Linked DNA regions of Drosophila melanogaster. The protein of the gene in region 1 purifies or fractionates together with the protein of each later gene. This does not show direct contact. Each region holds a gene or a part of one and is shown in the gene's direction. Other genes may lie near its edges.

Evidence for each region.
Region 2: the proteins of G9a (region 1) and HP1b purify together in Drosophila melanogaster (affinity purification with western blotting, with the first as the bait; one study listed by BioGRID). This does not show direct contact.
Region 3: the proteins of G9a (region 1) and HP1c purify together in Drosophila melanogaster (affinity purification with western blotting, with the first as the bait; one study listed by BioGRID). This does not show direct contact.

Annotation. Positions count from the first base shown.
Region 1 is NC_004354.4:244,273-249,054, forward strand, and holds the start of G9a (G9a), read left to right. Parts: upstream 1-1,705; 5' UTR 1,706-2,577; coding exon 2,578-3,324; intron 3,325-4,109; coding exon 4,110-4,782. Other genes in the region: CG3038 (uncharacterized protein), read right to left, coding at 167-1,074, 1,140-1,398.
Region 2 is NC_004354.4:9,079,299-9,083,323, forward strand, and holds HP1b (heterochromatin protein 1b), read left to right. Parts: upstream 1-1,955; 5' UTR 1,956-2,060; coding exon 2,061-2,783; 3' UTR 2,784-3,448; downstream 3,449-4,025. Other genes in the region: CG7246 (uncharacterized protein), read right to left, coding at 1-1,132, 1,197-1,500, 1,558-1,649; APC4 (anaphase promoting complex subunit 4), read left to right, coding at 3,756-3,867, 3,943-4,025.
Region 3 is NT_033777.3:22,743,724-22,747,114, forward strand, and holds HP1c (heterochromatin protein 1c), read left to right. Parts: upstream 1-1,896; 5' UTR 1,897-1,993; coding exon 1,994-2,707; 3' UTR 2,708-2,776; downstream 2,777-3,391. Other genes in the region: vret (vreteno), read right to left, coding at 1-72, 135-951, 1,017-1,427, 1,491-1,801; CG17141 (uncharacterized protein), read right to left, coding at 2,777-3,391.

The DNA of each region.
Region 1 (4,782 bases):
AAGTCGATTTCTGGCAAACATTTATTGTAATGCATATATATATATATGCAAGGATGAGTATCATATCCCTTTTCCAATATTTGTCTCTTCCTTCATCACCCCCTTTTAAAAAGTCCTTACATGATAGTTGCTAAAGGATGAAAAGCCATTTGTCCTTGAACCGATGTCACCTGAGTCGCAACGCTTTTATTTCAGGAAAACCATGTTTAGGGGGTCGAGATTTGGCCGCCGCTAAACAGGTCTCTTTGAGCGACTTACCAACCGGCCGTTTGACGCATTCATCAAAGTAGCACTTCTCAACGTTATGCAGAAATTCCACCAGTAGTCGGTCGTCACCGCCATTGGGTCCCACGGAGTACTCGCACTCATAGTTGTGCTTCTTGAGATCTCGCACACAGCAGTCGATGAACTCTGCATTGGCAGAAAACCAGTCGTTGTGACGCTCAAGGGGAATACCCAAACGAGTCCTTACTACTCCAGTCAACCAGGTGTCATCGATCCAAAAAAATGACATCCTCTCCGCCTCCGCCACAATCCTCTCGGCTGTTGGCACGTTGGTCACGTAAAGCCAGCCCGACAAATAGGCGGGATATAAAGCCTGAGGATACTCCTTTTTGCTAACGTACCACTTATTGGCTCGAAGGCGAATGGGGGGCTTGGCATCCAGTACGTAGCCAGATAACAAAGTACTTGATGTGGCCAGTCCAGGTTCGCGCACCTCGAGGGTCTCTAAATACCTGCGCAGATGAAACACATCGTAAATGATGTCATCATCCAGTTTAATGATAAACTTGGCCTGCTTTTTGCACTCCTCAGAGACCCACTTTAATCCCATTACGTGTTTGTAGCTCAGATTGCGATAGTCCTCGATGAAATTCCCCTGGAGAAGGTCCCCGAAACGATTCTGTTCGCTGGCCAGTTGATCCTGGCTTATAAAATGCTCTCTTGAAGGCAGGGCTGCCAAGAGAAAAACTCTTCGCAGGCCCATTTCTTCCAGTTTGCTTTGGGGAATTGCCTGTCGGTGAGCTGATCGCAAGGCATCGTGTCCGGCATACGAAGTAACTATTAAAACGGCTAATCGGGAATTACAAAAATGATTAAGGATTCCTTACAATGGTTGATTAAAGCAAAGAACTTACCTAAGAGTTCTCTTTTTGCCTTTCGACACACATTACTGGCCAGCAAGTAGTGGAAGTCCGTGAGATTCAGAAGATTACTTAACGGAGTATTAGGGTTAGATGGATTCCTCTTCGTTTCGAGTGGTAAGTGCAGCAAGAAACCGTTTTTGCGGGACTGGCTTGAATCCCTCAAGTGATTCGAAAAGTAACAGAGACTCAGTAGGACGATCAAAAGAAGCGACAAAATAATCGGAAGCAATCTTCGTCCGCGCATGCGCATTTTTCTTACATTCTACGTGGGATTCCCCTCGCACTATGCCGTCTGTAAGTATATGTGGCTTGGTCTATCTTGCTAAACTTTAATAAACACAATGCCTAAAACGATTATATATTAAGAAAAAAATAAATTGAGATGCGTTAATAACAATTGTTTTCACGCCTTTGCCAGTGCTGCCCTATCAAATTAGCGATAGCTAAATTGGGAACCGTGTCACCCTATTTTCTTTTAGCGATTACACATTCCAAGCAGCGTTGCCATGTCCGATAAACATCGATTTTTGTGCCATGCCAGCTCTAGTTGTTGTGTTGTTGCTGTTCTTTACGGATAACAGTTTTCAGCGCGAAGTGCGTGCGTGTGCGTGCGTCAAAAACGCAGTTCTGTATGTGTGTTCGTGTGCTTTTCTTATATTTTTCTAAAGTAATGTTATTGAACTGGTTGCCTATGTAAAGAGAAAGCCACGAAAACTACAAGCATTTGTAAATTCGTTGAAAAATTTGCAGCTTACCAATTCCAAAATCTCAAAACAGTGACTGCAACACCAACAAAAACGCAGTAGCAGCGACGTCGGCAGAGAAACAACAAGAACAACAATCTTGGCGTTGAAGCGATGTGAGAGAGTGTAATATTTGACAGCATGTGAGCTAATCAGCAAAGCAGCGATTTCTGCAAACATTTTGAGCTTCTTAAGGGCAATTAATGAACGAAAAAGTGGAAAACTATAGTAAATATATAGTAAGAAATATAGTGAGAAATTTTGTATTTTTACGTTTTGTTCTCTAGAAATTAAAAAAAAGAGAGGATACAAAAAATTTAGCTGTGACCACCAAGAAACGCAGTCGACTTCGCTGCCGGCAGAACGAAGAAAAAGAAAGAGCATAATATAAAGCAGAAAAACCAGATTTTAATGTCTAAATTTTAAAGATTAAATGTTTTATTTTGCCTTATGTTTGCCCATTTATACTCAAAAATATCGGTGTCAAAATAGTTGCAAATTCAGAACAGCAAAGCAACAACAAAGGCTGCTGCTTGTACGACCGATGCACAAATCTTGTCGGGAAAAATAGGGTTCTGAAAGCGAAATTATGTTTTTATTGGCTTAAAGATGGAAAATTGACTCCTGAAATCGAAAATCAAAGAAACTAATACGCAAAGTAATCAAATAGTGACAATTAAGGCAAGATGACGGACTTTGTTGAGCTGATGAACAGCATGTCCAGTACATTCAATAGCGACTGTGCTACTTCAACAGCGGAGGGTGGTACTTTGCTAAATCTGAACTTGGCGGAAGACAAAACCCTCAAGTGGCGTAATTTGGCCAATAACCAGTTCGCTAGTAAAGAAAAGAAGCACAAGGACAAGGAGGAGGAGGAGCGCAAGGAGGCAAGGAATCAAGAGGAAATCGAAGACATCAAAGCACTTTTGGCAGATGTTGTCGATGCGGCCGCTGTCAAGCTGGAAGAAGAAGAAGCGCAGAATGCAGAAAAAGTCGAACCACATACAAAATGCGAAATAGAGGAAGAAGGTAGGAAGGAAATGGAGTACGATCAAGATGTCGCAAAACAAGACTCCGAAATGGAAAAAAAGCAGAATGGCAAAGCAACATCCATAACAGTAAAGATGGAAAGCAACGAGCGTGCAGAGAAACACGCAACGGAAATTGCAACGACGTCGACAGAGAGATGGGAAAACGAAAGCTTTAAAACTGAGCAGCAAAATAAAAAAGCTGCTGAGAAAGAAGAAGAACCCATACTAGCAGCAACACAAAAATTGGAAGCAAATGCAGAACCACTGACAACAACAAGAATTGAGGTAGCAGTAGCATCTCCACTTGTTGTTAGTTCTGCTAGCGTTAAACTCGCTGCTGACGCAACCAACCAAATGCGAGCAGCGACGTCGGCAGGAGCAGCGACATTAGCTGATAAAAATGTAAGTAAATGTGTGTGTGTTTGTGTGTATCAGCTTCGAAATTCTTGCTTTTTCTTTTATATTTTAATTTATTTAGATGTTAGCCCTTGACTGCTGAGTTCTTTTCTTTCTAGTGTTTCACGTGTAGTTTAAATCAAATACATACGTAGTTATGATTGATGTACACATATTTATATACATAAATATCCTAATGTATGGCATTGTTTTGGTTCATACCAATCATAAAAAAGGTTAGGGATTTATTTCATTTCTCTACTTTTTGTATGTCATACAAATTAAAGACGTATTATGTTGGAGAAGTTACTATTTGTTAATTCATTTAGAAGTTAGCCCTTGACTGCTGAGTTCTTTTCTTTCTAGTGTTTCACGTGTAGTTTTAATCAAATACATACGTACATATGATTGATGTACGCATATTTATATACATAAATATTCTAATGTATGTCATTGTTTTTGTTCAGCTGTTTGTTTAATATGGTTAGGTCATAAAAAGGTTAGATTACAATTGTTAGTTTGTCATAATTCCAGAGGGATTTGAATACAAGAAAGACTTGAAGTAATTGCATCCAATTTTAAGAGGGTTAAGCCATCCATTCATTCATCCTCTTGGTCAACAGACCTCTTATGTTTGGTAGAAACAGTTGTCTAGGCAACCGATGAAGGCATTTGAAGCTTTCTTTGAGGACTGGTACTTCTAGTTAGTATGTCTCTATATTATATAATATATAATATTATCCTGAGTACTTCTTTAGTCGGCACATTCAATGAGTCTCTGTACTTTGCAGGTACAAGTTTCGCCCGGTGGAACGCGACGGTCTCGAAGAACACCCAGACCCATAGACACGCCCACTTCAGTTACTGATGAACATGTTCAGGTGGAGAATAAAAAATTTGGAAAGTCGGAGCAGTATACGGATTGTAGTAGCCATCTGGAGAGGTTCACACTGGACGATAATACTGCTATTGTCAGACTGCAGTTGAAAAGTGAACCGGACAAACCGTCATTAACTGCATTATCTCCTGAGGAAAACTCGGCTCCTGCTCCGAAGCGAGGAAGGGGTCGAGCCAGGAAAATAAGACCCGATGCCGAGGTGGAAACCAGTGAGGTTATTTTACCCTGCGAGGATTCATTAGGGGAGAAGAAACCAGGACGCAAAAGGAAACTCCCGGATGAACCGATAGATCAGCAGCAACTAAGCGACCTTGTCGTGGTAAAAACAGAGCAGGAGGAATTGGGTGACGCTCCCTTGGGAGATGTTAAGAGAATGCGACGTAGCGTTCGTTTAGGCAATCGATTACACGCCGATGGAAGCCCTTGGGAGGAGGTAAAGACAGAGGCACTTCACCCGCAGCCTTCTGCAGAACTTTCCTTTGCGGAGGTCACTTCTGAGATCTTGCCACTAGCTGTCTTAGATGAGAAGACCCCACCCAAAAAGCGAGGGCGGAAGGCAAAAACGC
Region 2 (4,025 bases), 8.8 Mb from region 1:
ACATGGGCGGTAGAATGGCCAGCTTGGCGTACTCCTTGCGTGCTTCCTCGACAGACCGCTCCTGCCACAGATAGCGCAAATAATCGGAGCGCAGCTCACCAAATTCCGGCCACGCAGCCTTGCAGGCGAGACCGTAGATCTCATCCAGCCGGCGTGCGCCCAAGCTATCCTGCCGAGTGCGATAATACAGAATGACACTGCGCCACAGCGGCAACGCCTCACTGCCCATGCTCTTCTGGATCTTGTTGAATAGCTCATAGATCAAGGGCTCACTGTCGCTTTGAATGTGCGTGGCCAGAAGAAGCTCGTGCATCTCCACCGATGAATCGTTTTTCAGGGCTTCCGTGAGTATGGTGACAGCTGCCTCCCTTCCACTCGGAGCAGTGCAGAGCATCTTTCTTAATGTGGCATAGTGTTTCACGCCCATCAACTGAGAGCGATGGCCCGCCTGCAAGGCATCCGCTAGGCACTGTTGCTTTAGTATACGCTCCGTCTTTCCATCGCTATTGAGTGCCAGCATGGCATCCAAATACATATTCCACATTTCTGTCGTTTGCAGCTCCTCCACCGCCGATTTGTATACAGTAACGCAGAGTTGAATGCGTCGCTTGAGAGAGCGGCCATTTACGGAACGAGATTTCTTGCTGGCCGGCTCTTCGTCACTGGTATCCAAGTCCTCCTCCTCCAGGTCGCCCAGATGAAAGCCGCGCAACTCTCGCTGGGCAAGCAAATCCCACAGGCCCGGCTCCCGGGGGAACTTCTCTTGCATATCATCGATTATCATTCGCTGCAGCTTGCCCGTCAGCTCCTGATGATCCTCACAGCTTTCTAGAAGCTTAACAAAGTAGTCCAATTGGGTAATATTGGCCATGCTGTTGCGGTAGACCGCCTCCACGCGTTCCAATTTGATGTCCTGTTCCGAGAGCGTATTCTCGGCTAAATTGCGTTCGTTGCTGGCCAGGGCAGCCTCTTTCAGCATAATGTCAAAGAAGCACTTGTTAAGTGCCTCGGAATCCGGATGTCTCTGCAAGCCACGCAGCAGGATGTCCTTGACTCGATCGATGTTGAGCCGATTGAACTCGTACAGCCATAAGGCGGCGTCCACCCAAAGATCCGGCGAGTCGCCATGGTACTGCAAAAGAATAACAACAATGGATAAGTAATCAATGGAAGTGAGCAGGCTGGCAAATACTAACCAGCAGCATCTTCTCGTATATGCCCGCCACCTCGACAGGATTTGACTTCCTGCTGAACTTGATCCAGTTGCTCCACAGCCGTCTGTCGTGGTTAAACTTAGCCAAGGCCTCTCTGTACAGGCGCATGATCCGCGTGGCTATGGAGGCCTTTAGACCGGTGAGTTTAACGTGCATCTTCTTTTCCTTGTCCACGATGGTCATGTGCATGTGCTTCTCGTACAGTATGAAGTCCAGGTAGTCGGTGATGCTCTGGTGGCTCTTGTTGATCTTAAGGAACAAGCGTTCCCGCCTGCTAACGATTTCTCTGCAAGAATATGGATGAAATGGGGGCACAGACTCCAAATTCGTTTGGATTTCTCACCTGACCTGATCCGCTGTGAATACGCTGTAGTTCTTCATCTGCTCGTATTCCGGCAGCAGGCGCTCCTGCATCTCAGCTATGAACTCGGCCATATTTGCTTAGTTTTCTCCTTAATCGTACTTAGTAATATTGTTTATTTCTTTAAAAACTAGCGCACGTGCAACGCAACGGCCGTTTATCGATTGTCCAATTTCTGGAGAGTTATCGCTGACAGGGATGGTAGAAAGGGTAATTTAAAAAAAATATATATATATGTCAAAATTTAAAAATGGTCAAGAGATAATGATAAAATTACAATTGTAAAGTTTTTAAAGTTTCAGCTTTTTAATTAAAATGCGTTTACTGGCCAAGAGAGCGATAGTTGCCGATGGCGAGACCATGGAGTTGCCATCTTGATTTCTTCTTCTTCTTCAATCTCTTTAATCGCACGTATAAATAAGTTTTGGACGCCAAGAAAATAACAAAATTCGCAGTTGGAATAACACAATTAGCGTAAAAGCACAATGGCCGAATTCTCAGTGGAACGCGTCGAGGACAAGCGAACGGTGAACGGACGAACGGAATACTATCTAAAGTGGAAGGGCTATCCGCGCAGCGAAAACACCTGGGAGCCGGTGGAGAATCTCGACTGTCCAGACCTGATAGCCAACTTCGAGGAGTCGCTGAAGAACAACAAGAAGGAGACAAAGAAACGCCTGTCCACCTCCTCCACACCCGAATCCATACGCAGCAAGCGCAAGAGCTTCCTGGAGGACGATACCGAGGAGCAGAAGAAGCTGATCGGCTTTGAGCGCGGTCTGGAGGCATCAAAAATACTGGGCGCCACCGACTCATCCGGGCACCTAATGTTCCTCATGAAGTGGAAGGGCAGCGATCACGCCGACCTTGTGCCCGCCAAGCTGGCCAACACTCGATGCCCCCAGGTGGTCATACAGTTCTATGAGGAGCGCCTCACCTGGCACACGGGCAGCGGCAATGGTAATGGGAATACGAATTCCGTCAATTTGGGATCATCCGGTGGCCTGGGCTCCGTCGGCGGCAGTGGGGCCGGCGATGATACTGCTCCCGGCAGCGTTGGCACCACCGGTGGCGGCAGCAATATAGATGGCGGTGACGAGGAGGATCCCGAACCGGCCAGCCCCATTGGCAGCATCAATCAAGACGAGAATATCAAGCCGGACGAGAGTAGTGAGCTGGACAACGGACAGCCGGATGCGGATGACTAGTTGAGTGGCAGATACAGATGACTGTTTCGGATTCACTCGCTTATGTGGATACATACACACCGGCTTTATACGATATATGTACATACATATTTCGTAGCGTAGCCCTTAAGATAAAAAAATTGGACAAACTGAAGTTCTGGCGTCAGTCAGCGGTAGTATATACATATACATATATACATATACATATATATACATACTTAATCTATAAGTTCAATTGTAAAATTGTTTTTAACATCTACCTTTATTTTTGACCCACATAAATGTTTTATAAGCATATAACATCACAGTGTTAAATACAATTGGCCTAAACTACGCTTAACCTGATCAATGAGGAACGACTCAGACTGAAGGACCACCTTTCTATCTTAACAACTATCCAGCTTTCTAACACTTTAAGTTAAAAAAAAACACATTGAAATTGCCAATATTTTTGTGTGGAAATCAAAAGACGCCAATTGTGCTGCCCACCTAGCGCCTTTATAGCCAGAATTTGAGATTTTTTCCTAACAGGCAGTTATTAAGATCGATTAATTTAGATTTTCCCGATTTTTTCATTGTTTCGCAAATCATTATGTGTTCCAAACAAAAGCTTTTAAAACTATGTAGGTTTGTAAGACTAAAGTAAAGTACGAATAAAACAAAATTGTGCTGGCAGATAATTTGCCATGCCGTGCATAAGTACAAATATCTAAGAAGTTTCAATCATAAATACACATTCTTTCTCGCTGTCCCGAAGTTTTAATACAAATATTTTGTTTAAACATTTGACAAAAATCAAATAAAATGTCAAAAATGACTGAAGAATTGGAGAAACCAATTTGTAATAGCTACTATTTCCGCTCATCTCTGATCGATAGCAGGAATATTATTCGATAGACTGCAACAGGAGCCGGCAAAGTGTAAACTAAAATTATTATATTGAAATATTTGATGCACAGTAGAGACGCCGCGAGCCAATTCTAGCGTGGAAAGATGGCACAAACGAGCTCCATGAAGTTGCTGGGCGCCCGCAACATGTCCTGCATTGTGGAGCGTATGGAGTGGAACAACAAGATGGATCTAATTGCCTACGGAACGGAAAAGGGTGAGCGTCTGCCTCCGAAATTGCCAAGAATCACCAAATAAACTGCCAGTGGGCTTATCCCAATCATGTGGATAGGTGAGGTGGTCATCCAGCGTCTGAACTGGCAAAAGATTGTCACCTTTCCCACGCCCGGCGAGGATGTGCGGGTGCGTTCGCTC
Region 3 (3,391 bases), on another chromosome or scaffold:
CTGGATGAATGTGTTGTCCATTACCACTACATTTATGTTCTTTCCGCAGTGCAAGGGAATGTATGGAAGACACTGAAACCGAATAAATGCAAATGACAACTGTGTACTTGATGTTTTTTTAAGTTCTGGCTTACGTCCTCTTTGTATCCCAAGTCCGAGACAGACGGCTCAACAGGAGTTAGGATGGTCTTGAAAAGGCGGTTGAGGCTCCTATTAATATCGATCTCGGTCATCACCACGACCTGCATGCCCTTGCTGGTATCGTACTCACGTGACGAGTACTTGATATTAAAAACTAGGGACTGGTCGAGTTCGTACATGACTTCCCTTATGTTGGGACCCACAAAGCGCCTGGGAACTCCGCGTAATTTAACGGCTACGGGATAGCAGGTCAAACCAGCTAAATACGAACTGCATTCATACAGTCTTTCCAGCTGCGTGACTTCAACACTTCCGAAATCAATGAACACTACATAGATTTCCTTGATATTATCCACGTTTAGCACCATGGCGCGCGACATATGTCCCTCGAACTTGTAGAGCACAATTTGTCCGCAGACTGGCGTACTCTGCAGTTTGGAGGCATCTTTGCCCAGCATCATTACCTCCGTGAGAACTGTATAATAGGCGATGTCAATCTGAATGTCCGCCGAGCGCACATAGACCACGTTAGTCTGCTCGAATGCAGTAATTCTCACTTTAGATCCAGACGGCGGCAAGCCGGGTTTGGGGTACTTCCGGCCCACCTTTTCGTCAAGGTTAAGTATCTCACCCTTGCCGCAAGCTTGCTTATGCTGCTCTGCCACATCGGCGAAACAGGAGGCATTGCAGAAGGGCATTTTGCACAGCTTGCAGAAAGTGTCTGTCCAGTTTTGACAAACCACGCACTTGCTGACGCCGTCTTCCAGCAGGCTTTTAGTTTTATCCTCTTCGGTGACAGCAACCGTTGACCTGAGTGATGCAGAAACTATACTCGTTAGCTAATCAAGGGCACGTGACCAGGTGGCTATACTAACAAAGGAATCGTTCTGCCCGAACGAAAGTGCAGAACGACCTGCGGGATTCTGGTCTCATCCTTAAGCTTGTAGATATCATGGCGCTCCAGTGCGAATTCGTACTTTACATTGAGATAGCGTTGAATGGGGTCGTTGGTGGCCAACAATGAACCTCTTTTGTAATCATCTTTGGTGACCAGCGGTGGCCGGAAGAACTCCGGATGATTTTGTCCTCCGGTCGAGATCGGAACCTCTCTGTTGTGATTCACTGGCGTACGTTCAGTGGCCGAAATTGCTGGGCCTGGTGTTGGCATTGGCTCAGTGGAAGTCACCGGATCGCTGGTGATTTCCCGCTCCTTTTGCGGGCGACCAGTGATGCACTTGATCAGGTTCGGGTAACGCTGCACCCGCTGTTGCGCTGTCTCCAGGGATCTGGAAAAAGGATTATACGCTCGAAATATTGAATGACCTGCGAAAGTGCTTGAAGAAACTCACGCGATATTTTCAAAGTAGACAAAGTATACGCGTGACAAGCGGCGGAACTCCATCTCCTTGATGAGCGCCCGACCGAAGAAGTTGATTAGCATCTTTTCGGTCACATAGGGACTGCTTTTTGGAACCACCAAGTATGGATACTTCGCCTGCCTGGTGGCACGTTGCTCCTTTTCGTCCTTTGGCGGCAGCGGGGCTTCCATGATTAGTTTCTGGCCAGACTCGTTAGTGTAACGGTTGCCCACTTGGTCATAGTATTCCCTGGACATTGGATCGAATGCGGACCAATCATCCTGCGAGGATTCGGATTCCATTGCACCTGAGCTTTAAAATTTCACCTGAATTCGAATTGCAAGCGCGTGCGAGTGTGACCGTTTTCTATGCTGTCAGAAGTATGTTGCTATTGTAACTGTTGTTGAAGTCAGCAAACGGTCACACTGGCACTAGTGAAAAAAACCAAGCCGATTTTAAATATTGTAAACAATCTTGTAAAAACACAATAAAAAATGGTTAAAAACGAGCCCAACTTCGTGGTGGAGCGCATCATGGACAAGCGCATTACCAGCGAAGGCAAGGTTGAGTACTACATCAAGTGGCGTGGCTACACGTCGGCGGACAACACCTGGGAGCCCGAGGAGAACTGCGATTGCCCGAATCTCATCCAGAAATTCGAGGAGTCGCGCGCCAAGTCCAAGAAGCGCGGCGAGAAGAAACCCAAGTGCGAAGAGATCCAGAAGCTGCGCGGCTACGAGCGCGGCTTGGAGCTGGCCGAGATCGTGGGCGCAACGGATGTGACGGGCGACATCAAGTATCTGGTGCGCTGGCAGTTCTGCGACGAGTTCGACTTGGTGCCATCGGCACAGATCGTGGAGAAGGATCCGCAAATGCTGATTGACTATTTCCAGAAGATGGCACCTTACTCCCGTCACATTGCGATGCGAATGAAGGGCGTGCCGGAGGAGCTGCGTTTGGCGGCCTCGCGCACCAGTTATCCGCACATTAGCAGTGCGCCCGTCGAAGTGCCGCCGGAGGTGGATCAGTCCGCTGAGTTGGCTGGACATCTTGGTGGAATCGCGCCACAGGTGGACCAGGCGCCGCAGCACCATGCACCCATGGATCTAGCCAATGATACCGACGATTTGGCTAGTGTTTCGTACTCGATTCCCGTGCCCGGCGTTGGCGACATTGCCATCGATGTGCCCATGGCGGAAAATCAATAAGGACGCGAGCAGAATCGACTGTTCAGTCTTTAATCTAAGCCCCTAAGTTTAATTCATACATATGTATAGCTATCTGAAACCACTGGGTTCGTCCAGATTCATGTGACCCAACTGGCCGGAGCGAAAGAAGTGAATGAACTTTCGCGCGGCCGCCAATAAATTTGTCATCACCTCCACGCGTCCGTCGTACTGCTTGACCTTGTGGAATAGCTCCTCCCGATGAGCGTACTCCGCCAGCACGGCGCTGATGTCGTCACTGGGTCCGGAGCTGAGCTTTAGCATCTCCACGTAGTCGTATTTGCGGTGGCTATTCAGCCAGTACAGCAGATAGTCGGCTATCAGATCCTCGCCCACAATATGATCGGGAAGGCAGCCCACCAGGGCCAGTTTCATGCCCATTTCATCATCCTTAATGGAGGGCTGGAGGATGCCGGGTGTGTCGATCATGTAAACAGGCGGATTCTCTTGGATTTTGATGCGTTCGCCGACGGATCGAGTTATACCCGCCTCGGCACCCACGCGTGCGGCGCTCTTCTTCTTGAGATGCACATTTCGCAGCACATTGATCACGGAACTCTTGCCCACATTGGGCACGCCGATGATCATCAGATTGTGCTCGGCAGCTTGGGTGCGATTGAAGCGACTGCTCTCGCTCACGAGGCGCGTTGCCAGGGGCAGGATGTC